4 linked regions of the Schizosaccharomyces pombe genome follow. Changing the gene in region 2 together with the main gene of any one other region gives a genetic interaction. Each region holds a gene or a part of one and is shown on either strand. Other genes may lie near its edges. The genes, in order: eif21, par1, sgf29 and reb1.

Region 1 (8,737 bases), on a different chromosome or scaffold from region 2:
AGAGATATTTACATCGAATTAAAATATAATGTATTAAACATAGCTGCTCTTTCTTTCTGTTTTTTTTTTTAATTTAATAATAATAATAATATAAATATTTTACATAAAATTTATTCTCTATAAAAATGAATTGGATGTGATGATTAAAATACTATCAAAACAGCAATTTAATTCAATAGAAGCAGCCATTTCGAATTATATACCGATACTTTGTCCAAGATTAACATATAAATTATTGTCTATAAAAAATACAGACTTTAAACGCTACACAACAAATTCTAAGTCTGCTGGTCTCTTTAGCAAAAAGCATATTAGATCATTAATTCAGACGGTATCAATTATAAAAACGGTCACTCATTTCTTAAACGTCAGCCTAAATCTGTTTTATTAATTTTATGCAAGTAAATACACCACTTTATTTTTAATAAGGGTTGGAGCACGAAATAAATGTAAAGAAACAACCCAATTTCTGAATTATCAGGTCATTTTATCCAAAGTCTGCTATGGTCAATTACAGAAAACACATTGAATGCTTACCTCTATCATTATAACGGAATTTCCACGAATGGCGACCGAGCCAATTTTTACTTTTTCACCGTCAACTTTCTCTTCAATGGAATCTTCTAATACTATATTCAAAAAGATCTAATAAAAGTTAGATATTTTTTTTTTTTACATTTAGCAACATACATCATAACCACGAAGAACACCGTAAACTTTTCGAGATCCATTTAGCTGAACAAATACCTGTCTATCTAGGTACTATAACCATGAATTAGAATTTTAAATTAAGAATAAAAATAGCATACCTTTTTAAGATCAGGCGCACCAGCTTTAGACATTTTGCTTTTGCCAAAAGAAAATGTAGTTCTTGGTGGTGATATAGCTCAGCTGTAGGTAGCACCAGTTTATGCTACCCACTGTCACTTATCTCATACTAAAATATTCCAATGGTTATTACAAAATCAATAAAATCCAATTGTAACAATTCTAAAATACAAGCTATACATATGAATCAGCTTTGGTAAAATGTACCAAATTGAATTTAACTTTCAATAAAATCAGTGATATGTAGATATTTTAAAGGACGTGTGCTATAACTTCTTAAGATAAGGTCTAAATTTGAAGAAGAGGGAATGACAAAAGATTATTGAAAATCAACCTGAACAATGAAATCTCATAAGTAGCCATGATAAGAGAGACAAACGAACAAAGATAACTTGGGAGAGACGCTGCTTAGTGCTTGATTGACTTCAAAACACGAATGAGCAGTTTTTCTGTACAGGTGTGCTATTATTTAATTCCAGCATTAAAGTGATGTAAAATACTAGTTTTAAAAAAGCAACAAGCTGATGCCGAACTTTTGATTTAATAAAACCTAACGACTGAAGATTTGAAAAACTTTATTCACTTCTTCAACGTCAGCAGCTATAAAAAACCAAGCTGTTCGAGAATGCAATAAATTCAATTCTTAAACAGAATAAATAAAATTCTTTAATCAATACACTTGCTCAAGAACTTTCTATGCATCCGGTGTCCATCCAAGCGCCTTGAGTTCAGCCAAAACTTTCCCTTCGGACTCAATCTTTTTAACTTGAGTGGCTTCAAGTTTTTCATTGTTATTGAGACGAGACTTCAGATCATCAATGGCGCGCAATTTTTTGCACAAAGAACGAATTTTCTTTTCGTCACTTACCTCCGCAGTTGGTTGTGCAACTTGTTTAACAGCAGGTTTTGTTTTTTTGTTATTCTTTTTGTTTCCATCTATTACAGGGGTAGCTCCAGGTACAACGCGCTGACGAGAAGAATTGACGTGCTTATTGGCACTTCCACTGCTCATTACATCGATCTCTTCACGGCGATAAGAGAAGGTAGAGTTCTGACCCCTAGCACCTGGTGGACGATAAGCCCCAGCTGGCTTAACTGAAGGTTTTGCAGCCAACTTACTAGCCGATGCATGCGGTGTAGGCGGAGAAGGTAAGGAAGCAGATGTAAGAGCATTTTGCAACAAGGTAGGATTTAAAGGTCGAGGACGCCAGAAAGCCTGGTACAGCTCATTAAATTCTTCATAAAACATGGGAGCACCAGTAATGTGCCAAATCTTAATGCTGTTGTCAACACGAAGACGAGGGGAAGTAACTGCAGTAAGAAGAAACTGACTATCCGGACTGAATTCACAGTAAGTGCAGTTTGCAGCTTCCACCGTGGTTATTTTTTTCATATTGTTTGCAGCATCGAAAATATCGATACTACCTTGTAAATTACCAAAGCCTGCTAACAATATGTAACGAGAGTTAGGTGAGAAAATCAAAGTATTCCTGGGAGCAGGAGGAATAATGCTTACAACGTTTGCTCTGTTGTCAAAGATAGCAGTTTTTGCAGGCATATAGCCATACACAATACCAAATTCTTTGGAGTCTGCATTCCAACAAACATCGTGAATTGGACCTTCACGATCTAAGTCAACTCGACAATCAAATTGTCCGGTAATACCTAAAAGGTATAGATTGGTCTCACCATAATAATTTTTATTTGATTTGTCGACCTCAGTTTGCGTTAAAACTAACAGAGAAGTACCTAAAGCATTCCATTTGAATTGCACCTTATCAGCCTTAAAAAATGTTTTTTGCGACAAAGGAGAGTTAAAATTGGGAATGCTGTACGTACGCACAGATGCAGGTGCGCCTTTTTTTTCTGGTATAAAAACAGCAACAGCATGATTTTGTCCAGGAGACAAGGCAAAATCGCTAATACCCTCGACCCTAAGTTTAGCAATAGGACCTTTAGACATATTCCCTGTTTCATAAAAATGAACTTCATTCGTGACTAGGCGAGCAGCTAAAGACTCGTCGCAGGTATATTGTAAATTCCATCCAGTCTGATTTCTTTGTACAAAGCTAAAAACCAGTTGGCCGGTCTCAGTATTCCAAACTTTCATATTTTGTTTAGGCGTTCCATCTGCTTCTTTACCAGGGCGTTCCCAAGTACTCAAATACTTGCCTAGAGGTGAAAACCCCAGTTCGTAGGTGTTAGCAGCAGGGAGCTGAGTTAACTTTGCGCCGGATTCAGTGTCATTAATAACAACTTGAGTGGCAGTGGCATATGCAAAGAGTTTCCCGTTTGGACTGTAACAAGCGTTACGCGCAGGCTCAGATATAGCTTCAAATTTGGGAGGAGAAGCATAGTTTTCACTAGCATTCACGAGCCCTATGGACTTTGATGACCGATCTAAATGTTAGCTGACAACTTAGAAAAATTTTACGAACACGCAAACTGGCTTTTTTGAGACATGCTATGGAGTCCACGAAAGCGATTGTTGGTTGTAGAAGTCTTATTTGCTATACTTGAGCAAAATGCGTTAGCCGCCGATTTAGCGACACCTAAAGAGTCCAGTAATATGAAAACAAAGCATGAAGTGGGTTCTCAACTGTACATCTTCTAAAGAATTAATACCAATTTAAACTTGCTTTTAAATAATTATCGTACTTGCAAAAACTCAATCTCGCCAAAGGCGCATCTTGACTATATTTATAAATTCATTTGTGGAAACATAGACAAAAAGTATATACATTATTAGGTTCTAAAAATCTTCAAATCTATCACAATATTTGTTTTCTAAAAATCACAGTGAGTAATTTTCACTTTATGGTGGGATCAAAGCATCTGACAGTGAGGCAACAAGATTCTCAAATTTAGCTTCACGACTCAACTCATTCGATCTTGCTTTTTCTGTAATAACCTGTGAACCTTTGCTCTTCTTATAAAGAACATACTCTACCGAGTGAGTTAAACTGCCATTTCTATTCTCCAAAGGAATTGGGTCTAACGGGGGGACCGTGTACCATAAAACGTTCTGGTGCTCATCCTTATCAAGCATTTTAGCAGTTTCAGTATTAATCACAGTCACATCATCGATTCCGGGAACCGGGGAAGATTCATCCAATTTTTGGTGCGTACCTGGGACAATGAAAGCTGGTGGAAATACTGGAAGAGAAGGCATACTGTTGATGGTATAGTTAGTCATTGGGGTTTTCGCCCCAGATATATTACCATTGGATCCCCCGTGCCTTCCGTTATGAGAAGTGTAGCTTAATTTAGCATAAGGAACGTTCATTCGTCCTGAATGACCACCTGAAATTTGATGAGAATGTTGCGTCGTATTTAAGGATTGCAAGGACCCAGATTGAGCGTAAAACGGACGAGCAGGAATAGGACTAGTACTTTTCGTGGAAGTACGCATAATCGGTGAATTGAATGCAGCCGTAGGCACATGAGAAGAATTGTGATACGAAGAATGTGAAGATCTTTCTGAATGTGAACTTGTTTTCCTAGCATACGTGGGCATTACACTGGGAGGATTTGGAGCAGAGGACAGAGGTGTGGCTATATCGTCAGTCGATAACGGAGTCGAAGCCTTGGTAGAAAAACTTTTTGTCTCTGAAATACTAGACGGGGGAAGAAGTGATCCCTGTGAGGGCAACATATGTGTATTACTATCAGTTGTCGCAGGTGAAGGCAAACCCTGAGATTTGCTAGCCAATAAGTGTAGCAATGGACTAGCAACTTTTGTCAGAGTAATAGGTCGGTCAAACAAAATCATCTCATATTCAGATCCGCTAACTTCTTGGGGCATGCATGCCTTCCATGATTTGATTTTGCTGAATTGTTTAGTATCATCATTATAACGTGACTCACAAACAAAAACGGGTGTGGAACGAATTCCTTTTGGTCGACCACGAATGTATCGAGTAATGTACATAACAAAGCATCTTCCCACAATCTCTGAGACAGGGTGATCTCTATAAAGGGATGTTTTGAAGACTTCATTTTCATAAAAAACGGCATCAGCTCGATGCACAGTTTGTTCAGGTCTTAAATACCAGCAAACAGTAACATAATTAATATCATCATCGGATTTCCAGATTCTATAAATTTGGGAAACGATTGGCTTACTTGAATCGGCAGGGTTACGAATCAATACCCAATCACCTACGTTGAGTAATGTGCCATCAATGGATACAGCAGGCTGTATATCATTCTTTGGTAATTGAGGAGAGGCTCGAGAATCGGTTTCATAATTAAAGAATTCACTATCCAGCTTTCCAGCTTCAAGTCTTAGTACGTCTGCCAAATAATTTTTTAAGAAATCTGCATCACGATAGACCTGGCTTGAAGGATCATTAAATGACTTAGCATTATCAAACATGAGGTTGAAATCATCTACGAACTGCTCGATTGTTTCATAACGATGCTTGCTTAACTTTTTTTGAATGACTTCAAGAGCCATCGGCTGTTCAATAGCCTGGTAATACTCAGGAAACATACGAGGATCAGGTAATCTTTCGAAAGGAGCAAACAACTGTCTTCCACTCCCATCTCTGTATCTCCTTACCTGCCGCATAATGACCTTTGCGCGAGCTTCTAATGAGCTAAGAGGTTTGGATGAAGGCTGAAGTTTTCGGCGCTTTAAATCCTCAGATTTGTATCTACCATCCCTACCAACCATAGATCTTCCTTTTACATCCGAGTCCTCCTCCTCCACATATAAATCAGAGTCATAAGCTTCGTCCTCATTTTTAACAAACTTGGAACCATTAGGTGGAGAAACACTATATTCTGGATTTCTACTGATAGGGCTACTAGTGGTAGCAGATGGTGAGTCCGTATTTGGCCAGGTTATTACTGGAATGTAGCCCTGTTGTTGAAACGTCCGTAATTGCTGTATACAAAATTCTTCAAGGGCTTGAACAAAGCTATATGTTTGCGTTCCCTCATAGAGAGCCTTAACATTAATAAATAAATAAGCCAGATCAGAGACAAATTCAGAGAAATCATGGTACTGAAATTCGTCAATCTTGCTTTGAATCGACTTCAGAGTAGTAGGTCGGCCATTTGACGAAGGAGATACTGATGCTGTATCAACTGAAGCGTTATCTATTAGAGGAGAAAGTAATTGACCACTTGAAAAAAAAATAGATGTTAGTTATTATTCTGGAAAGTTTTTAGATAATAAATTCTACGTACGAAACATCTTTTGCCGCTCGAACTCGTTCGAGAAAGAAATAAAGAACTCGTTGGAGTTTTTTGTCGTCTCTATTTGTTAATTGAAATTACAGAAAGTGCTGCACTTACGCGGATGGCCGAATTTTCGAGGACATCTCACTGATGGATTTTCTTGGTGTTTTCGTGGAAGACGTACCCGTACCTTGTTCGTAAGATTTTTAACGGGGTATATCAAACCTATGTTAGGATATGTTAAATTAATCTGCAAATCAACGTTAATGTATTTTTGCTATCGTTATCACAGCTTTGGTAATATGTTTAAATCTCACTATGCTATGCGACGGTGCGTTATCTCATCTTTAAGATAAATAAAGGATCGATGCTCACGATTCCAAATGAAATCACAACGAAAGACGGACACATTTCCCTCGAGCACTACAGTTATATTAAAACTGGACCAAGTTTCAGTACGGTTATTAGCTAATTCAGCAGGGGTTTTGTATATATTTAAAATTCTTTAAAGAAGAGATATCCGTATAATAGTGTACTACTCGTACAGATATCAGGAATATTCTAATATGGAGGTGATTTAATAACATAACATTGAAATAGCTCGCCAATATAATGAGGAACAGCCATTCAATTGAGATATGCTCTTATTGTATTAACGAGAGTCATATTAGATAGGAAAAAAACCTGTCAATAGTGTATACTAATTGATACACAAAAGAAGCTACATATAATGATACCTAACGTATGTGTTCATAAGCCTGCATAGTATTATTCACCAGATAATTAATAAATTTATTTAGCGAATTAGATCACTCCTTCTAATTTCACCAGCAAAGTAAAGTCATTTGTTGGCATGGTTAATGAGACCAATGATGTTTCCTACGAAAAATGTGGTCATACAAAGTGCTTGACGTTTTCCGAGAACTACACCCATTTCAAATATCATATATTTTAACTGACTATTTTTTTTTGTTTTAAATGCCCAAATAATTCTTCAACTATAGTGAATGCGTGTTTGCATATCTAGAGAAGTCATTATATCTAATATCTTATTTTTGCTTTTGAGACTGCAACAAAACGGGTGAATAACAACAGTTTGGCAATATGGAACTTTATCAAAAACATTTGAAGGATGTATATGCAAATTTTAATAAGCTTGCTGCGGTGCATGGAGAGACCACTTCCAATTCAGTAACATTTCATGTATTTCAACAATTGGATTCAACAAACTTGACAAATTATCAACTAGAAAATGTTATTACTCAAGTGAAGGAGCTAGATAAGGGACCAAAAGATTATCTGTATTGGGTAATATTGGGGAGGTGTTCAGCTCATTTACACGTAAAAATGCTAGATCAATTGTTAGAAGAAGCGATGATTATGTCTGATAACCTTCATTATTGGGAAAGCATCGATAAAAATTGGTATTCAAGGGTTTTATTCCTAATTCAATCTTTTCCTACTAGACTATATCACATTTGTCGAAATTCCATCAAATCAATTCTACAATTTCAAAATTTCTCTAATATTTTTGCTAAAAAAAATTTGTTCCCTAAAGTTTCTAAGTCGGATGTCCTTCTTTTTCCCCGTGATGCTTTCATTTCACAGGCTAGTTTACTTTCTCTCATACGACATGAATATCGTGGCAATGCAAAGCGACTTCGTCAACTTAGGGACGAGCATGCTTGCAAAATTGGATGTTTAACTCGTGCAATTATGAGTGAAGGAGTTAGTGATGCTGCTTCATCAAGTGGTGATAAAAATGGCATTTCAGCAAAAGCTGATTTAAAACAAGTTGTTTCCCAATGGATCCAAAGACTCTCACAACTGCAAGGGCAGAAGATTGACAATTCAGAGTCTTTGCCAGACATTCTTTCAATAACATTGGATAATCTGAGCCATCCAACAGATGAATATTTTGAGGCTAAAGCCTATTTTCGTCCAAGTGCAATAGAACGAAATTGGCCTAAAATTTTCGTTACTTTACTTTCCGCTTGGCTGTCAACCCAAATAATTACAAAAAACAGAACCAGCATACGTCTATGGATAGATTATCTTTATTCAACGGCTGTAGATTTCTACACTAATTGGATTCAAAAACCGATTTTAGGAATATTTGACACCATCCGCTCTAACAGGGCTGACTCGCAAATTACTTTGTTGCAAACCAAAAGTTTAGAAAGTGATATGGAAAGTTTACAGAGAATGGTGATTGATTTTGTATCCGATACTTCTCCTGCTGGTATAAACTTGGATTTGGTGAAACAAGAAGTACAGCAAGGAGATCTTACGTACGTTTTGCAAGCATATGAACATGACTTAAAAACCCCGATTAGAACTGCCGTTTCGGGGAATCTAGTTCGGACACTGCTTATTCAATTGCAAAAAACAAAAGTTGACGTCGAGGTAGCATTAAGTGGTATTGATCGACTATTAAAAAGTCAAGAGCTCGTCTTTGCAACAGTTGGAATAACCCCTAGTCTTATATTCTGCTATGTTATTATCAGGTATGTAAAGGCCAACATTTTCAACAACGATACTCTTTCAAGGGCAGAACGCCGCCAACGATTTAGACAATCACTTCGTGCTGCCGAACGTATTTTGGTTCGGTCACAGAAAATGAATTCTTTAGATGATATGAGTTATGGACTCTTGGTTTTCCAGGTTAACTTGATGGCCATAATGTCCATGGATATGGGTCTATCTAAGGATGTTGCTGAAG
Region 2 (8,790 bases):
CGTTTTGAAGCAACATCCTTTCAAATTTCGCAAGTATGCTCAAACTGGTGGAATCCATGGTGAAACCATGCTATACATTATTAGTTGAAAGAACCATTTTGAATAATTCTCGCTGAATTAGTATTAACTTACACTCTCGTATGTTTCTAATTTGCGTTTTGTCCTCTGATAATCTGATGAAGGCAAGTCAGTAGGGATTTTAAGCTTCCCCAATAAGGATATCATAAATTTTCTCTCTTTTCCTACATTTGTTGTTAGTATTAATGTCGTTTCTTGTATTTAATCCCCACCTTCAGAAGCATTAGGTAACGACTCAAAAATCATGTTTGCTAAATGTAGATGTACATTATGATTTAAAGCGATATAATCATCTCCTGTTTGTGTTTTTCTTTCATACAACTTTTCGTTGTCAGTCCAATCTAACATTTGCTGAGCTATGTGTCCTATGCTTAATTGAACATCATCTTCATCAAGATCGCGGTATATTTCTAATAAGCTTAATAGTGCATCGCAGAATATCTAAAATGCTGTTAATTATCTATTGTTTGTTCAATAAAAAATAATGATAATTTTCCTTACAGTAGCTATTCGCCATTGATTCTCGTGTGCACCAAAGGCATAAACAGGAAAGAAATAGCCAAGAACTTGCCGTAGCGCATGATTATCAACTGTGTTAGGCTCAAAATATTGAATGATGAGGGGTTTTAGAAACTAGTTGTTGTAAGTAAGTTATAAAAACACAGCAACATACCAGTTCGTCTCTGTAATGCAATATTACCAACAACTTGGCTATCGCCTCAGCACCGAGAGTCTGTAATTCGGCATTTTCGAATTCCCCTAAAGCTTCAAAAAGTATAGAAGAAATAGCATCTTCATATTCGGTGAACTTGGCTTTTCCATGTTGTATTAACATATCAGTCAATGTACGAATTGCGGTACACTTTAAAACCACAGAACCTTTCTCGTAACAATGTAAATACAAAGGAACGTTTTCAAATGCAAGATCAGCATTCAACAAGCAAACCAAACTAAGACACTCTAATCCTTTTTCTCTAATTGGCAAGTCATGGCTCCTCACAGCCGGGATAATTAAAGTCTTAAGCATGTCTACCATATATAAGTTTTCATTTAAGGAGGATGTGATGTTTTCAAATAGACACTGAACGTACGAAAGGCATCTTAACTCATTAAAAGCTTCTTTATATCCATCCATGTCGTCAGGTTCAGGCTCATTTAGTTCATTAGGTGGTAAAGATGGAGATGGTGACTTTTGCGAAACAGTAATCTCCTCACCCTCATAATCATTTTTATTCAGTTCTGGAGCATTGCTGTTCCCTTGTTCCTCAGTCTGGTTTTGTGAATGTCCTTGTTCAAACACCTCCGTAATAATTTCAACTAGCAATGAGCAAAAATCGTTTTCAGAAGAGCAAAGTTTCCTTAATAGTTCTATATGTAAAGAGATTAGTGAATCTGGAAGGGCCATAGTAGAAAGACTATTTGTAAGACTCTTTAAAAGCTTTCTGCGACCAATTTCATCAACCATGTCCTGGCTTAGACCAATGTATAACAGTTGTTCAATTATAAAACATGACTCATCATAAGAAGACTTGTCTCTAAGAGAAACATACTGCCTTTCGATATAATATGTAAGTTGAACAACTTCAGGCATTTTATCCAAAAGGTCAGTGTAATTTTTCTCTATACAAATTTCATTGAATGTCCTAGCAAGCAAGGAAGACTCAGCTGTAAGCTCTAACCAAAATTGTTCGGGGAATTCCAGCTGAGACAAACTATCCACGCGTACATCAAAGAATTTTTTAATTGCTAAAACTGCAACATCAGAGTTGTTAGACACATCAAGTCTCTCTAGAAGTTCCAAAAGATTGTTATCAGCGTTTTCAATCCACTGATATGCAAGCATATCAGCCGCGGCTTTTTCAACAGATTCATCACGATCATTTAATCCCCATTTCAATATCCTTACTCTCTTCTTTATGCTTAAATAACGAAAATCTCCTATTTTCGGTAATACTCGGGCATAGACACATTTTCGATTGGCAGCATCAACATCGCGTGCTCTTTCAAGAATAAAAGGGAGAGTTGAGTTGCTAACTTCAATATTTAAAAGAACAGACCTTCGCACTTCAGAGCTAGGATCGTTTTGCAATAAAAATAAAAGAATATTTCGAACATCGTTTTCTTCGTCACCGGTGTCTTCTTGAAGCCGAGATAAAGCAACAACAGCTTCAAGGCGGACTATCGATTCCCGGTCTAAAACTCTGGACAAAAGCTTTTCTTTGAGGGTATTGTAAAGGTCATCATCAATTTCTTTTACACAATTAACCACTCTGGCAATAATTTGGCAGCAACGATATCTTACAGTTTTATCTTTGGCATCTAACCCACGAAGTATATGTTTTAAGATAGGTTGAACAATGTCTATCTCAGGATCCTTCTGCTGAAGGTAATTAACAAAGGTTACTAGGAACCTCAAAACGCGGTCAGCATTTGAGTTTCCTTTTTTAACAGTTAATATAATATTTAGCGCCCTTAGGATGTCGGTTTCAAATCCTTCCTGCGTCCGTAGGGTAAACAATTTGTTGCATAGCTTTCTATGACCAGCAATTGAAGTTTGACTAGATGAAATAATTTGAATGCAAGACATATTCAATAACAATTATATTATGCCAATTTTAGTGCTTTTGCTGAAGTTGAGGAGCACCTCACTGGCATACCTACAGTTGGCTCTCAGTGGTAGGTTAAGCTGGGGTATGCAAACAAAAAAATGAACCCTTCTAGCTTAGGCCCACTTGAGATTGCAACATTCAATTTGAAAAGAAGATTGCTACCAAGTTACCGATTTATATTTTATTACAATCAATTAAAAGAAAAGGAAATACTAACTGAAAATGATATAGTATGTAAAATGTAAAAGAGGGAATATTAGAGACTAAGTACAATATATGGATCATTATTAAAATATGCAAGTCCTAACCATTGGTGTAGTCAAGTGAAAGTTTTTTTAGTCTCTCAGTAGTAGAGTGCACAGTAGTAGGGTTTTGAGATTTAAGTTTCATAGCATTCTCTTTAGCGATGTTTTCTAGTATAGTCCATCTTTCTTCTCGTATAATTTCTTCATCTTCTTTTTTCCGACGACTCTCAGAATACTCAGCATCAACTTCATCGAATAAAGAAGGATTAATGTCCATGAACAATTTTAAGACGTTACAAACCATAGAATGTATAACTCTAACAAAACGTCAGCAAGAACTAATAAACCACTTTCTTTATCTTAAATAAAGAAAATAAAAAGGGATTTTAAATGAGTAACTACTTACCTATTCCAGTGACTTTTTGAAATTTCAAAGAGTGCGGGATATATAATTGGTAGTATAATGTCAACGTTTTCTTCAACCAAATGCACGAAATAGTCGTTGTTAAAAAAATATAAAGCTCTTTCAGCAACTTGGAAATTTTGGCTAGATATGGATGTTGCCAACTTGTGGAAGAGCGGCACCTGGATCTTTAAAAACTCTGAAGGTTCCATCACTTCAATAATATCTTCAATTTCATTTAAAAATAAGACTTCTTTTGAGCTATTTACTTTCGGCCAGTATCGAAGTAAGCCCAAGACAACCTATATTGTCATCGTTAGATAAAACGTAAGAAACACTAGGAAATATACATACCTCTTCTGTAACAGATGAATCCTTTTCAACAAATTGAACAATTCCATAAGCAATTTGAGGGTAATAAAGGGGAAGGGATTTGGCTTTATGTAAAGGAATAAGAACACGTGACAAGAATATTTTGTGTTCCTCTTTTAGTGGTAGGGCAAATCCATTAATGATACTCCCGAGGATTTCCAACAGTTCGGCAATACCATTAAATTGCTCGTTCTCATAGACAAACTGCAAAAATAAATTATTAATTGAGCGCCTTATGAACGCACGAAGAGAAAGAAACTTTCCGTATATTCTATGAAGTGTAGTCTTTAGAAAATCACGTTCCCTAGGATCTTCGCTGTCGAACAATACAAGTAATTTCCTAATAAATTTTTGATTAATATACACCTTGGCTACGGATGTATTCAAAGACGGAGATTCAAAAAATCTTAAGAAAAAATCGTAAACAAGGTGAAGATGGGGCCAAGCAACTTCCAAAGCCGGCTCATCTTCTTCAAGATCCATGATTTCACCGGGAGGATTAGAAGGAGGAGGTAAAGGACGAAACACATTTACTGCAAACATATGAACAATGGATGGATACAATGACTCATCAATTGCTTCCTTTCGAACAGATATTAAATCAATGAGATCTTGAAGAGCCTCTCGCTTCACTTCTTTTCCGTAAAGATCGGTGGAGGGATCGTTGAAATCGAAAACAACGCAACATTGTTCTAATTTTTCCAACGCCAGAGAGTGCCATTTATTAACAGGAACATCTAAATAGACAGGTTAGTAAATTAAATTGGTTGACAACAAAGTATATTGATAACACCTCAGTGTTTGTCAACACCAAGTACATTAAATCAGAAAGAAAATCCTATTCAATGTTTGTGGTTTAAATCATCTCTTAGTAAAATAAAATGAAATGTGAGAAAAAATGGAAGGATTCCTTTTTCGATATCAGACACATCAAGCTGAACAGTAAATCCACAAGCGACACCAGCATGTGCCGCATTGAACACCATCCAATTTCATGACATTCTAATAAGAAACAAAATCTTTTATAACTACTTAAAACAATCAATGAAGTGTATCCATAAAACATACCAGTAAAGGATGGAAGACGGACCAGGTTTCGATTTTCAGATATATGGTAAAGGGATGAACGTTGTTTACGAACAGTCCTGACATTCTCTAATAAGATCTCATCTCTAGGAGTTGGTGTGGTATCAATAGGTACTTTCTTTCCTGAATGTTTTGGAACAGTAAGAAAGTCGTTTTGGGCACCAATCACAGAACCATTGGGATCCGTCGAGGGAGACTATGAAAATGTTAAAAGTAAGTAAAAACCTTTTCCGTACCTCTTTCGGAGCCTTGCTAGAGTCATGGGAATTCGATTTTTTGCTTTCCTTCTTCTTGCTAGACTTCTGGGTATCTTGAGATTTCCCTCGAGAAAGCTAGATTCTGGTTAATCAAATAAACACTAGATATGGATCTTACCATTTTGCTTTTAATCCCTTTCATCTTGAGGGCTATTTGGAGCGCTCCAACCCTTTCTTCTTTGAAGCTTTCAAAACAAGCCTACAAATTTGGAGACAAAGGGAGTTCAATTTGAAGCTGTTTAGCAGCTCTTATATAACCGTAAAGGCGCTTCTAAATAGCAAAATTTTCGAAGAAAATTCAGCCGCTTTCTGAGAATTTAACACTTTTACTGCTTTTTTGGAATGTACCGACAGGTGGAGATCCGGTCGAGGAAATACCGTGTAGCAAACACACATAACGAAACATAACACCACTTGAAAATTTTGTTTAATGTACCGGTACGTGAAGCTACGAAAGTACAAAAGGTCGTAATTTTATTTAACGATTCTTTAATGTACATCGGAAAGTGGGTTTGACAATAAACAAAGAAAATAAATGATACTTACCCAAATTTCTGAAAAAAAGCGTAATTGTATATGTTGCTTATAAGCTTTCTAACATCAATCTCATTTCATAATCTCCCAATAAGTTAAAAAATTTACAGCAACGTGCTAACAGTATGGATCTATCGGTCGTTACATTTTAGGGTTCGCAGTTGATTTCTACTTTATACAAGAACGAAAATTTAAATGAAGCCTTTATTTTACAAAACCTTTGAGTCAGTGATCGGTGCATCTCATTTCTCAAAAATGTAAAAACTAACTCCCAAGGCGAGACTCGAACTCGCAACCTTCTGATGACCATCATAAGAGTCAGACGCTCTAAACCGATTGAGCCACTCGGGACTTGCTTGTTCATTACGAGATTAAGTACATAATATATATTTTACAAAATGTAGTGTCTTTTAATTGTTAATAGTCAGAATGTCTTTTTACTAAACATTCGTTGACATTTTATTGTGAAGCTTAATGTTGATTAAAATGTCTGTACGCCAAATTATTTTTGAGGCTTCATAGCTTAGGCTAGTGGGTGGGTTGCGAAAACGAATGCATTGACTGGTTTGAAATTGGTATTTATTCTTTATTTAGACACAGCACTAATGATACTGGATTGAAAAAAATTCCTTGAAAAGAGTTACGAATAAAAATACTAAAGTATGGTAAATATATAAGTGTTTCCTTCCCTACCCCAATGAAACGAGACATTCGAGTGAACTACTCCTATTCTCGTACTAGGAATAGCATCGCAGGGAATAGATGCTGTTGAGTTCACTAGACTTGAGAATGCATATAAAAATCAATTTTGTACGAGCGAGTAAATCGTCAATTTTTGTTAACGTAGCATTCCTATCAATCTGAACAATTTTTTTTTTTTAGTTTTCAAATTATTTCAATGATCATTCATATCAAGATTGTCATTTCTCAAGTTATTTTTCTATGAACTACTCACTAGTTAACCTACTTGAATAACAGAATAAATACTATTATTTAACACAACAAATGTCTACGGCCATACCTAGGTGAAAACACCAGTTCCCGTCCGATCACTGCAGTTAAGCGTCTGAGGGCCTCGTTAGTACTATGGTTGGAGACAACATGGGAATCCGGGGTGCTGTAGGCTTCCTTTTATTCTTTTTGCTTTTTGTTGTATTTGTTTCTAAAGAGGTATAGTCCAGTTATTATTTCTATTCATAGTCTAACTTCCAATGTATGAGGAAAAACATACATAACAATTAACTAGCTTGTTCAAGCTTCCATCATTACGATGGATTGGTGAATTACAGACAGCGTGAAAATGGAAAATGGAGTGCTTCCATTTTCCATTGTCTTTTAACTTAAAAAAATTTTTGAGTTTTCGTCTTCTTTTGACAATAATGCTGTATTTTGAATACATTTTTTCATTTCTGTTATTACCAAGTGAAGAAAAGCATACAGAAAATAACTAAATCAAATATAATGTCAGTTAACAAACTACAAGCGAGTTTAAGAATATTTACGCAGTATAAAACACTGTTTTTCTCTGCTTTACATGCGCATTTGCAGTAGGTTTGAAATGTCAACAAACCCAGCACATACACCTTTTCCAACTACCATCGTTACTATTTACTTAACGATGCATGCCTTATAATGTGTTAACTTGTTTTGTTTAGTACAAGTTGAATGTAAACAAAAGCCGAAAAGCGTTGAAATTAAAAAAAAAAAGCCGCAATCGTCGGAACCGAAAGGCGGAGTATTTAAGACCCTCTGTATTTCAATATTCTTACTATATTTTTGGCTCTTAATAAAAGCAGCCAAAAGACTATAACCTTTAAGTGAGAGTGTCGGTTTTAGCAAACGTCCCTTTTTGAAAAGTAAAACAAATTCTGTACGAATCTCGGATACTTTTTTAAATTTGTACTGAAAGGGAAGATTTCGAGAAGAAGACTCTTTGTTGATCAGTAAGCAAGGCTGAAGAAGCGATCCAGACGAAGGCGTAGCTGAAGGCTTGATTTAAAGCTGCATTGTAAACGAGACAGTTACCAGTGAATGTTGTTTACTTGACGAAAAGGGACTATGAATCTAATCTGCTCCATTCTGCCGAAAAAAGAACCTTCCTACCTTAAATTATGGCGAAAGCAAGTTATATACCAGGTATTAACGGACAGATTTGCTTTGGATGAGGATAATTTTTATGCAAAAGCTAGCGGAAATCTTTACCTTGGGGGTACATGGAAGGGTATTACTCGTAACCTTGATTACATTAAAAGTCTGGGATGTACGGCAATATGGATTAGCCCAATAGTTAAAAACATATCTGAGACTACGGATTGTGGTCAGGCATATCATGGGTATTGGGCACAAGATATGACTCAGTTAAACGAGAATTTTGGGACAGAAGAAGATTTGAAAGAACTAGTCAATGCAATTCATGAGAAAAATATGCTTTGCATGGTTGACATAGTTGTCAACCATATGGGTCATGCCGGAAGCAAACCCGTAAACTTCTTACTTTATCAACCATTTAACTCTGGGAAGTATTATCACAACTGGCAGTTTGTACAAAATTACGATGATCCCCATGAGACAATTACAGGTTGGTTAGGAGATTCACATGTGAACCTACCAGACATTCGAACCGAAAAGAATGAAGTTCGCAAATTTTTTCAAAATTGGGTTTCTGATCTAATTAAACGTTATCAATTTGATGGTATCAGATTGGACACAGCCAAACATGTCGAAAAATCCTTCTTCCCAACATTTATTGAAGCAGCTAATGTATTTACTACAGGAGAAGTTTTTCATGGAGATCCTAAAGTCGTCGGGGATTATCAAAAATATCTCCCTTCGACTTTAAATTTCCCTTTATTTTTTCAATTGCGGGAAACCTTTCTTGACCCCAAACATTCTATGTTTTCATTTTATGATAAGGCCGTACTTGATGTTCGACATTACTTCAAAGATGTTACCGTCTTGTGTAACTTTTTGGAAAATCATGATTTTCCTCGCTTTTTTCATGAAACCAAAGACATCGCCGTAAGTCTATTGAACAATATTTCAATTTAGTACCTGCATTTTTTATATATTTTAACATTTATTTAGCTGGCTCTTAACGCATTAACTGCACTTATTTTCATGGACGGTATTCCAATTATCTATTATGGACAAGAACAGATGTTTGACGGTGGTAGCGATCCTGACAACAGAGAAGGTCTTTGGAAAAG
Region 3 (7,506 bases), on a different chromosome or scaffold from region 2:
AAATTAATAGGACATAAGAGTAAGGTTCTTTATCAACGAGTTTTGATCTCGAGGTCGCAAAGTCTAAAAAGACTCTGGCAGTAGCATACGTACTAATTCACATAACCACCGTGGCTGACCCCTTAACTTTTTGATTAAAGAATAATGTAGCAAGCGCACTTGTTTATATAGTAAATTACATTTTTTAATAGGGTAGGGTTGTGACTACCTTAACGACTCGGAGCTGGTACTGTCATATCGCTGGTTTGAAATAACGAAATTTAAGGAGAAATTTAGCCGATTTCAAGGAATATTTTGATTGTATCTACATTTACTTGAAAAGACTTAATGTGTTTGTTGCAGATAGATGAGCATCGATTATACTTATATTTTTAGTGACTCAAAAAATCTCTAGCTGGTTTAAAAATGCATAAATTAAAAAAAATTAGAACGTAGAAAGAACTATGTTAACAATAGATGGCGGTTAAAACAAATTGAGAAAAGATTATAAAGAACGAAGCATTAGTAGATATGAAACATGTGTAAACGTTACGTTACGCACGGATCAAATAAATGAAACATAAACGAAGAATAATGCATATGCAAAGAATAACGATAGAGGAGAAACGATTAAACGTCCAAAGAAGGTAAAGGAATTGTTGCCTGAAGACACGAAAGTCGTTCAGTTTCTATCAAGGCACTGCAATTGGCACGATGTTCATACATTTTTTTAAACCAATTGCTTACCGTCGACAAGAGAGGGATGCTTTTAAGCTTATGGACGGCAATGGCGTCAATGCGTAAATAGCTTTGACGATAATTAAAACCTTCGTTGGGTAAAATCAAATCATACAATGTGCATTTAGAGAATTCCGCATTTTTTACATTACCGGAAAGGTAAATGCTATAGCCGGTCTGAGCATCTTCAAACGGAATAATAATATTACGGCGTTTAGCCACCTCATAAGCCATATCAGGAGATACTATATAGAAGAACCCGCACATGTACGGGAAGTCACGAACAGCGGTAGGTAATTCTCTTCGTGTGCAATCCCTTCCAAAATAAAAGCGGCTTTTCCCAACGTGCTCTTTCAACATTTCAAACAGACGGGGTAAATTCAAGAAAGAATCGTCATCGGCTTTAACAATAAAATCGTAGTCATGCTTTGGCTCGCCGAGATCTTGGAATTCCTTCATACCAGGCAACTCATATGTCTTAATACTTTGATTATATATAAAACTACCATGAAACTGAGTGCTGGGCATTATAAGATTATCTGCAAGTTCAGAAAAAAGAGGAAACGGCTGGTAGCCCTCTAAAAATGTTTGGAAGTATACAATGGACTTTCCAGCATCCACATTCTCCGGAATAGGTAGTACTGCTAAGTCACCATACGTTCGCTGCTCTTCGCGAATGGTAGCTAATTCCTGCTCATTCTCAGGTAAACCAAGGATAAATCTAACATCCACAGTATCATTTACGGCAAACTCCTTAATATATTCATTATAGTCGGTACGTAAAAAGTTACGCCTATCCACGTTCTTAGCTTGACTAAAAATCCCCAAATACAGTTTGAAAGGTCTGTCGTTCGCATGGGCAAGCGATTCATTTTGCTTAATGAAGGGATCTAAAAACAAATTCTCTACGTAGGCGAGTGAATGTTCTTCGGCCTGTAGACGATTTAGTACAAGAAAAGCAAAGGAAAAAGTAGCAACACCGGCAATTAGCACGTAAAGAAAAATTTTTTTTTTAGAATTTGAAAACATAGTGAAAGAGTTTAATTAAACGAGCACGTTGCGCCAGGAGGTCAATTAGAGAGACGTGAATATTAATTGTCCCTTTGAATAAAAGAATAAAATAAAACCAAACTTAAAGATCGTTGAGAATTAAACAAAAGACTCCTTGAATATATGAGCCAGCAAACAGAATATAACTCTGAAAGGAGTATAATGTTTGGTTCTGAAAACAAAGCTGTGCTTGGTGCCATATTCACGTCCACCATAAATACGCAGTCATAATGTAACCAGAAGAGCAGCTACTCAAACCCTTAATGCCCTCATAGCGTTGGTAACTATAAATGCGTTAACTATATATACCGGGTTGCTACATTTCTTTATCTCAGAGTCCATTAACCAAAGGATTCATACATATACAATTTTTCTATTTTGTTTATTTTTATGAATAATTTAATAGGAGATACTCGTTAAATGAACTTAGTTTTAGTATTCAGTTTCCTCTATAGGTGTTTGAAATTTTTTCTAGACTGTCATGTTACTACTATTTTTTAAAATTAGATTCCTTGCAAAATGTCAAGGAAGCAAGCAGATTTGGCGTACATTAGCAATGTTAGATGTGCAACACGATAGAAGCAAGTACTTTGAATGAGCCCTTGTCTTGGCTTAAGTTATTAACATGCGTTAACGCCATTAATATATAAAATATAAGGAACAACTCAACATCACAATGAATAAAAAAAATGTTAAATCTGAGTTATGCATATTACAGATAATGTCATCAATTTTTTTAAATGCTGTGAACCTAATATCGAAGTGAATAAAAATAACCTTTAACTAATACCTCCTAAAAAATCTGAGTAAAACGTTCCAGTTTTAACCATTGTACTCTAACACCAAATGACGCTCTACCACTGTTTCTTTCCCAACTTCCTCTTCTCCTTCAAATCGAAGTTTACATGATCCATCAGGCAGAGTGCGAATGACTTCTGCCCGATAAAACGTAGTAGTTTCAGGATATCGAGCTAAAACATTTGTTTTTGGGCTTATTGGGGGTAAAGGAGTTCCTTTTGCAGGAATTTGTATAAGATGATTAGCTGTAGTTTTATAAATTTGACCTGCATTACCGTCATCATCCGGTTCTGGATCCTGCACTTCAAATCTATGGTTTTGTTAATATACTGGTAAAAAAATATTATCAACATATAAGCTTAGAAGTAAATTTGAACTCGCGACTGACAATATTTGCTTTTGAAAACTCACCTCTGTTTTGCTCCTTCTCCAGTCACTTTAATAATGATACATTGAATCCAATCACCTCCCTCGTTATGCCTCGTGTATGGTAACTTGAAAGCTACAGACATGCCAGGTGTAAAGGTTACTGTATTTGCTGTAAAGCTTGTTCCTCGGTTTCGACGACTTCTCGTCAAAGGACTATTTGTAATTACAGGTTTTTCATTGGCTTTTTCGAGTACATTAATAATCATCTCAAGAGATTGCATTGTATGCTCCAATTCTTTTTTCTGTTCTTCAGAGGTTTGAATTCCCGCGTCACACGCTTTAATTCTTTCTTCAATTGGATTATCGTCGCCATCAACCGTTTTATAACATTCTTCTTGTTTTATTAAACTAGACCGAATGGGATTTAGGCTTTCATGAAATTTAACCCACATGGATGTCACATCCTCTTCAGCATTTATGGGGCGTACCATAATATCCTGTAACTGATATTCTCAAACAACACTTTTCATCATCCAATTTCCTTTGGTAGGTGCTAACTCACTTACTAGATTGATTTGCATGATACTATCAGCTATGCAAATTACTTTATTACAAATTTCATTAACACTCGATATTGTATTTACCGTATCGTTGCTGCATTAGGTTACGTAGTTAACTATTCACTTAAGTCATGGAATACTGTCTGTTAACGAAGTTCGTTAAACGATTCTCGTTTAGCAACGACTCTAAATACTGTATGTCGTATATTTCCTGCTAGAATACATCAATTCCGATTGTTATACTGTTGAAACTACAAATCCCAAAAAATTCAATATCACAATGAAAGCTCTAGTTCGAATCATGTTTTGCTTCAATCCTAGCTAGCACTGTTAAAGTATAGATATAAGAAAGGACAGCTTTGTTGATAGACTAGTTAAATTAAAATAAAAACAGTTAAACGTAATTAATATATATAAGTTTACGTTATTCAAAACATTTCAAAAAATGTGCTACTCTTTGAAGTACACGTCAGTAAGGAAACACGTTGATAAAAAGCCAGTATTCAAACATAGACAGTGTTAAATTATCACTGGAGATGATGATGTATGGAATACATGTCTAAATTTAAGCATCATAGTTAGAACGACAAAATTGATAGAAATTGAATAGCAGTGTAAAACTTGTTGAAGCGCGCACACAAACAGTAACCTGTAACAACAAGTCCTATAATCAAGCTTCTATATTGACTTCAGTAGGCAGCGAGATTTTAAGACACATCTAGGTAAATTTAAAAACGCTTTATTCAAGCTGAACATAATTACCAGGAAATTGACCTTGTGCACCGTTAAGTCGGCCAATCCACCATTCCTAAAATATATATTAGTAAAGTCCTTGTTTAATAAGAAAAAAATGAAAATTTAAGTTTAAGTACTTACATTTTGATTATCAGTACGTGAAACAACTTCGATACGATCGCCAGCATGAAAAGATAAATCTCCGGCTGCTTGGGCAGCATAATCATATAAAGCAACAACATGCTCTGCGGCGGGAGCCGCAGCAGGTGCAGGCGCTGGTGGAGGTACGGGAACTGCGGCTGCAGCTGCTGCTACCGGTGCAGCAACAGGTGTGGTCACTGCCGCAGCAGCAGGTTGAGGCATAACTGGAGGGGGAGGAAAGGCCGCTTGAGGGTATTGAGCAGCTGCTGCTTCAGTTGTAGTAGTGGTCGTCTGAACAGTTTGATAACCTGCACTTGGGGTAGAATAATCGGAAGCTCCGGCAACCGATGGCGTTGAGTATGGGGGTGGAATATCCGTAGCTGTCGAAGAGGAGGGTTCGGCTGCTGCTTCTTCACGCTTTGACGAAAAGGAAGAAGAAGAAGAAGCAGTTGCATCTTTACCACCCGGTCCCATACCCGGTCGTTTATACGTCGGTTTAGCGGTCTTAAATTTAGTAATCGTCAAAGCCTCTGCGCGATCTTTAACATCGCCGCGTCTTCTTTCGTACGATTCCAAAATATCGGTATTGAAATCAAAGTACTGAATTTCGCAGTGACTCATCTTTTCATAAAGAACGTAATAGACATTTAATTGCATATAGTAAAATCCTTGGAATAAGGGAGCAATGAAGCTCTGAGCCAATGCAAATAGTTTAGGTAACTCCTCCTTCAGCATTTCATTATAATATTCATATTCTTGGGAAGATTGTTCAAAGGCGGTTTCAGCTTCATAAAGCTTCTTCTCATCTTTAAGGCTTTTATCCTTCTTTTCCTGAAGTTTCTTGAAAGATGAACGATGACGATCATAATCCAGCTGCTTATGATCGCGTTTCAACAAAAGCTTATCTACATCCTTAACAATCTTGAGCAGTTCACCAGTTGGATTGACAATGCGAGTGTTGATAACATCCATTTCAGAAGCCAAATTCTTTTGGAGATCGTATACAATTTCCTTGTAAGCCTCGGCAGCCTCAATACCTTCCGCATTGCCTTCTTGCTCATACGATTCAGGATCCGAAGCACGCCCACTAATAGGCTTGTAAATTTCAATACAAGCATCGGCAAATCCAATTTGATGATTCAATAACCCATTAATAGCATCAGTATACTTTTTGGCGTCTTCAGCCAGCTTTTTCGCTTCCGTTTCTAAAGACTTAAACCGTCTTCCAGCATCCTCATAAATAGGATCTTTGGTAATCTCTCCAACATTAAACTTGCTGCGTAGAGTCTGCGGCGTACGCGCAAGTGCCTTTGTAAACCCTTTCCAGCTCATCAAGTAATTCTGGTAGTTGGTATGTCTGACCCTTTCAAATTCCCTTAACCATCCTTCTCCGTATTCACGTAGCATACTTCGCAGCAATGCTGATCGTTTCCTGTAATTGTGCCGAATCGCAAATACAGTATACTACGCAACGTCTCGTTATTTTTATTTTTATTTTTATCTAGATGAGGTGAAAACATAGTAAATATAAGGCAAACATTTGATTTTAATTTGCTCGTCTCTATGCTCTTTATTACAGTTTTTATTCGATTGAACAGTGTCTCCGTCGTTTACGATGCAATGATAACATACTGATAATTGCGCAGCTCTACATGTATTGGGTCGAAGCTTAGTTTTGGTTGGTTTCAGATACGCCGCCAACCAAAATTTTTATTAGTCAGATCGCAAAATTTGAACTTAGCAACTGCCAAATTATTTTAAAAAGGACTTGTTTCTTGTTGTTTAGGAAATAAATAAAGAATTAGCAAAATTTCCTCTATTTTGGAAACAACCATGTCCAAAATGGGAAGTTTGATGCTTTCTAGAGCAAGATGCCTTCTTGAACTACGAAGTGCTTTATTTTTTGTCAAGCGAGAGAGTCAGGATATTAATAATGTTAGACAGAGTCTTGGAGTTTACGGTAGGTCGTTTATGACTTCCAGTCGTATGGACAAACCTTCAATGAGCAATAAACCTCGTGAACAAATGTACGGGCTAGGAAACATGACGGCGGTTCAAGAGCCCATACCGGAAAATTCTTTGAAAACAGTAACTTTGGATCAAGCACAAACCGCTGCTAGTACGGTTACGGGATTGCATCCTATATATATGGATTTTCAAGCTACCTCTCCTCTCGACTATCGTGTACTAGATAGTATGCTTCCCTTCTTCACTGGAATTTATGGAAACCCACATAGTCGAACACACGCCTATGGCTGGGAAGCAGAAAAAGCTGTTGAAAATGCACGCCAAGAGATAGCATCTGTAATCAATGCTGATCCAAGAGAAATTATTTTTACATCTGGCGCAACTGAATCAAATAATGCTATTTTGAAAGGTGTTGCCCGATTTTACAAAAGTAGGAAAAAGCATCTTGTTTCCGTTCAAACTGAGCACAAATGCGTTTTGGATTCCTTACGTGCTCTCCAAGAAGAAGGGTTTGAAGTTACTTTTCTACCTGTTCAAACTAATGGCCTTATTAATTTGGATGAATTACGTGACGCCATACGTCCTGATACTGTTTGTGTAAGTGTAATGGCCGTCAATAATGAAATTGGTGTTTGTCAACCACTAGAAGAGATTGGCAAAATTTGTCGACAGAAGAAGGTTTTCTTTCACTCAGATGCTGCTCAAGGATATGGAAAAATTGACATTGACGTCAATCGAATGAACATTGATTTAATGTCTATTTCTGCTCACAAAATTTACGGCCCTAAAGGAATTGGAGCCGCTTATGTTAGAAGACGTCCTCGTGTACGTTTAGAGCCGCTTATTAGTGGTGGAGGTCAGGAACGAGGTTTACGAAGTGGTACTCTTGCTCCATCTCAAGTAGTGGGATTTGGTACTGCGGCCCGTATATGCAAAGAAGAAATGAAGTATGATTATGCACATATTTCCAAACTATCCCAAAGATTAATAGATGGCCTTCTTGCAATCCCATATACATCTTTGAATGGCGACCCTAAATCTAGATATCCAGGTTGTGTCAACATTTCTTTCAATTATGTAGAAGGGGAATCGTTGCTTATGGGTTTGAAAAATATCGCGCTGTCTTCTGGTTCTGCCTGCACATCCGCATCTCTAGAACCGTCTTACG
Region 4 (4,231 bases), on a different chromosome or scaffold from region 2:
TAGACTTGCAGTATATTCAATTTTGAAAGCACATACATCATCATTTATCTGGCCGTAAATTTTTATTTTCTCAGCCAACAGTTCATACTGCTGCAATCCAAGTTTTGCGTTTTTAGAAACTGCCAACTGGCCTTCAATATTCACACTAGCACCATATGATAGCCTTGATAATAAATTAATGTTAGTAGGAAAAAGATATCATATAATTTAGATTTTATGTCTCCTCCTCAACCATACTTCTTACTCTGTTCAGGCGAAGTCACCACTTGAAGGGCTTGTTGACATGTACCATCAGAAACCATGGCAAAACAAACATTTTTTAGTTTTCGGATAGATCGTACCCAGCCGTTTATGCTTATTAACTCTCCATTATGTGGGTGATGCCATAAAGACTTTAAAGTTTTTGGTAGTTGGAATTTATTCATACGGAATTAGCAAACAATTCAATTTTAATTATTAATTTACAAAAAATCCTCTATTGCTAAGGAAATTATGAATTCTTCCAAAAACTATTCGCCAATAACTAGAAATGCAAAGAGCGGTAGTAGTAAGGCGACTTTACATATCCTCAGTATGAAGGTGTTGCGTTAAGAATTAAGTCATTTTAATAAGGACTTGTAAAAAGATACAAAGTTACTTAAGTAAGTTAAAACAAATTTTTTCGTTCAAAAAATTGTAAGGACGTCAATTGGAGAATCCAGAAAGTACCACTTTAAAGTCATCAATGGCTGACTTCGTGGCTTCTAGAAGAGGAAGATTGTCGTAACTTGGTATCATTTTTTTCAAATTTATAAATTGAAACAACATCTGATCGCGTGTCCATCGTCCATTAGCTTCTTTTACGATATTTTCCCAATGAATTTTACCACCATTGTTCAATAACGAGTCGTAAATCCTTAAATTAAAATATTAGCAAGCAAGAGAAATTATGTAGGTCAATACTTACCTTTCTAAGAGCCAAACGTTTTCTTGAAGTTCAAATTTTGAAGCAGCCTTCGTCAATTGCTGAAATTTATAACGACACTGTAAACGAGTCCTAGTACCTAACATTTGGGCAACAAGCGTCCAATTAATGTCAGAACTTAAGTCTTCACGGTTACGGAGTTCAGCAACTATTTGCAATAACTGAGTTTCCTCTTCCAACGACCAAGCATTTCGTTTCAATTTATCGCCAAAACGTACTACGTCGCGCCAACGATCACGACAATCATTAGGCATTCGAGCCATTTTACGACCAATTTTCGTCCAGCATTTACCATGTTCAACAACATTTCTAAACGTTAATGATTTTTGAATAAAAATATAAACACATACTTTCTTAATTCTTCATCTTCTTCTTTGCTCCACACACAGCGATCTTCAAACGGGTTATATGCACGTCGTACATGGTGATAAATACTCTTGGCATCACGATGGGAAAGCTTTTTATATAAATTAGAGTAAAACATTCTGATTGTTTTTGGACATTTTCCTGCCCAAATTTGATTGCAAAATTGATACTCGGACCATCCTTGATCCATAATAAAATTATGTACTTCTTGGGAAATAATGGCAGTTTCCTGGACCCCGAAATCCCCTCTTCCAGAAGAATTTTTTCTACTATATTTCTCATAACCTGGGATGTTGTAAAGGGCCCGGAGGTGCCGTAATATTGTTCTTCTGGTAAAACTAGGCATTTCTTGAACCAATAATTTAACTAAAGAAGAGAGTGGCCCGTGAAGTCTTTTTTCGTGTAGAGAATCGGCTACCTGTGTATGGTCTAATGAATAGGTTTGACAGAAGTTTTGCATTCGTCGTTCTAAATAGTCCCAATGTTCCGCAGTCCATCTAGCACTACCTTTCAAAAATGGATCCATATTGGTAATTTCCGAAGGGCTTATTAAAATAGAATCATTTGTTTGATTCGAAGTAGAGTTTCTCATGGCATTCACACCTTTGTTAACTTTTGACAAGAAGGCGCTCGAATCCACATTATCATTTCCTAAAGCTATAGAAGAGGAGGCTAAAGCATCCAAATGAATGGATGTATTTTGTTCAGAAAGGTTGGAGTCTTGGGCTTGAAGAGACATTAAGGCCTCGAAATTGCGATCATTTTTACCATCTTCTTTAATGCTTAACGCGGGAGAAAACTTAGGCTCTATTGATCCAGAATAGTCATTGTTATTTGTTTTCAATCCTTTGTTAAGTGGAAAATCATCAAAATCATTCTTTCGTTTCCTTGATGATTGCAAAGAATCCACGCCAATAAATCCATGAATCTGAAGTTCCGGATTTAATACGGAGGTATCCATAAAGATTATATTTTTGAAGTACTATAATTGAGTAATCACTTCAACTTATCAATCGCTAATATCGTACAAAACGCTTCGTGAGCTTTAATTCGCAGTTTGCTAGCACAGCGATTTAGGAAGGGTGGGACACAAACTGAGGAGTGTAAATCTGAAATAAAGATGGTTTGTTATTAAGGGATATATCGACACGCTGCATTTCCTTATAGGCAATGCTAAGTAGTACAACGAAAACATTAATGATATACAAAAAATGTTGTTTTTGCTTACCACTTAGTACAAAAAAACTCATATTTATTATCGTCCTAAAATATGAAATTGTACTATTAATCAAATAAACAAGAAATGCAGAAATATACCAATAGTATTTAATTGGAAAAATTAGTAGCATACGAAGATTTGTCTTTAAAAATGAATATCCCAAAAGAAATACAGAAATAGTTAGGAATAAATCAATTGAAATGAGAATGAGGAGAAAATTTTTTTTGTACTCACATACATGGTAAAAAGTATTTGCATTCGATAGTAGTTGGAATTTTTTTGAACGAATCTATAGCACTATTTACTCTGTTACAAAACAACTAAAATAAATGTTTAATTAATTGAACATTTTGAAGAAATTGGGTTCTTGGCAATAAGTTTACAAGACCGGGATCTGATGATCATAATAAACATTCAGAAAACAATGGGTTTGGCACATCGTGGTCAACTGATCATTGTTGTTGTTTTTCTATGAACATCATATTTTAGGAGTTCTCTTACCATAACATCACCTTTTGCTGGTTGATGACTATAATATTGTTATTGAGATATTTTTTATCAACAGTTTGTTTTGATGAGTGCATTTGTTTAGTTTAAACGGTAGCATTAGGTAATACGGCGATCACAGGATAGCTTTATTTTTAGCAGTTATACAGAGTATTTAGCAAATGTTTGTTTACTGCAGTCATTATAGCTCATAATTAGCATTTTTTCAAGCCACCTGGTTTCATAATTCTGTAGCAATGTCTTGCAGACGGGCAGAAAAAAGCACTCAGTAAAAACAAATAAAGCATGGAAGGTATTTATTCACGAAATAGGAATCTCAACATTTCCCTTCCATCCCGACTAACTTCAACTTATAAAGAATTGGTTGACAATGGGAGACCGATTCATTCCCATTCGCAACGTTAGCAATGAGTTCAACTTTAGTTTCCAGTCATTCAAAGAATGTGTGTTAAGCCATGGATCAAATCTTAGGCGCAAAACCTCTGGCACTAGTATGTACCTTTTTTAGTTTTATATTCCCATTACTAACGACAGCAGTTCAAAGGCAATTCATGGAGCTACTAAGCATGGAGCTCTTCGGTTCACAAGCATCTCGCTCTAGAGCCTTCTATTATGGAGAAGACAAAAGGAAAATTGAGAAGAAAATGTTGGATACACCTGATAGAAAATCATATTCTCTATCTCCTATTTCACCGCAATCTCAAGATATGTTGCGGCAACCACAAAAGCCCAAAAGAGCTTTTCCAAAAACTCCATATAAAATCTTGGATGCACCTTACTTAAAAAATGACTTTTATTTAAACTTGCTTGACTGGGGCCAATCTAATGTCTTGGCAGTCGGACTAGCAAGCAGCATTTATCTCTGGTCAGCAGCAAGTGGTAAAGTGGTTCAATTACATGATTTCGGAGCAACAAATCATGTCACAAGCGTCTTATGGACAGGTAAAGGAACTCAATTAGCTGTAGGGACAGATTCAGGAGTAATTTACATCTGGGATATCGAGTCTACGAAATCAGTCAGATCTTTAAAAGGTCACTCCGAAAGGGTGGCAGCATTAGCATGGAACGATAATACCCTCACAAGTGGAGGCAAAGACGAAGTAATTTTACATCATGACCTAAGAGCACCAGGTTGCTGTGCCGAAATGATGAAAGTTCATGAACAAGAAATATGC

Evidence for each region.
Region 1: mutations in par1 (region 2) and eif21 together harm fitness more than expected from each alone (negative genetic interaction), as found in Schizosaccharomyces pombe (2 studies listed by BioGRID).
Region 3: mutations in par1 (region 2) and sgf29 together harm fitness more than expected from each alone (negative genetic interaction), as found in Schizosaccharomyces pombe (2 studies listed by BioGRID).
Region 4: mutations in par1 (region 2) and reb1 together harm fitness more than expected from each alone (negative genetic interaction), as found in Schizosaccharomyces pombe (2 studies listed by BioGRID).

What each region holds. Positions count from the first base shown.
Region 1 is NC_003423.3:3,413,442-3,422,178, reverse strand, and holds eif21 (translation initiation factor eIF2A), read right to left. Parts: upstream 3,323-8,737; 5' UTR 3,292-3,322; coding exon 3,267-3,291; exon of another isoform or gene 3,229-3,266; coding exon 1,523-3,228; 3' UTR 990-1,522; downstream 1-989. Other genes in the region: Sm snRNP core protein Smg1, read right to left, coding at 478-498, 538-645, 691-762, 810-842; RSC complex bromodomain subunit Rsc1, read right to left, coding at 3,644-5,960, 6,025-6,093, 6,133-6,158; protein Nca2, read left to right, coding at 7,120-8,737.
Region 2 is NC_003421.2:1,472,179-1,480,968, reverse strand, and holds par1 (serine/threonine protein phosphatase PP2A regulatory subunit B-56 Par1), read right to left. Parts: upstream 5,397-8,790; 5' UTR 5,193-5,396; coding exon 5,169-5,192; intron 5,126-5,168; coding exon 5,030-5,125; intron 4,990-5,029; coding exon 4,776-4,989; intron 4,445-4,775; coding exon 3,690-4,444; intron 3,638-3,689; coding exon 3,339-3,637; intron 3,250-3,338; coding exon 2,991-3,249; 3' UTR 2,866-2,990; downstream 1-2,865. Other genes in the region: condensin complex non-SMC subunit Cnd3, read right to left, coding at 1-70, 133-242, 291-519, 580-711, 752-2,665; SPOM_SPCC11E10.09C (alpha-amylase-like protein), read left to right, coding at 7,643-8,602, 8,669-8,790. UniProt on the Schizosaccharomyces pombe protein: The B regulatory subunit might modulate substrate selectivity and catalytic activity, and might also direct the localization of the catalytic enzyme to a particular subcellular compartment. Has a role in cell shape control and septum formation.
Region 3 is NC_003423.3:2,416,557-2,424,062, forward strand, and holds sgf29 (SAGA complex subunit Sgf29), read right to left. Parts: upstream 3,490-7,506; 5' UTR 3,426-3,489; coding exon 2,977-3,425; exon of another isoform or gene 2,876-2,976; coding exon 2,590-2,875; 3' UTR 2,182-2,589; downstream 1-2,181. Other genes in the region: pvg3 (galactosylxylosylprotein 3-beta-galactosyltransferase Pvg1), read right to left, coding at 610-1,746; BAR adaptor protein Hob1, read right to left, coding at 4,234-4,302, 4,371-5,702; cysteine desulfurase Nfs1, read left to right, coding at 6,204-7,506. UniProt on the Schizosaccharomyces pombe protein: Chromatin reader component of the transcription coactivator SAGA complex. SAGA acts as a general cofactor required for essentially all RNA polymerase II transcription.
Region 4 is NC_003423.3:191,252-195,482, forward strand, and holds reb1 (RNA polymerase I transcription termination factor/ RNA polymerase II transcription factor Reb1), read right to left. Parts: upstream 2,359-4,231; 5' UTR 2,292-2,358; coding exon 1,315-2,291; exon of another isoform or gene 1,274-1,314; coding exon 947-1,273; intron 896-946; coding exon 685-895; 3' UTR 501-684; downstream 1-500. Other genes in the region: asparagine--tRNA (Asn) ligase Slm5, read right to left, coding at 37-163, 238-425; ubiquitin ligase Mfr1, read left to right, coding at 3,427-3,547, 3,594-4,231.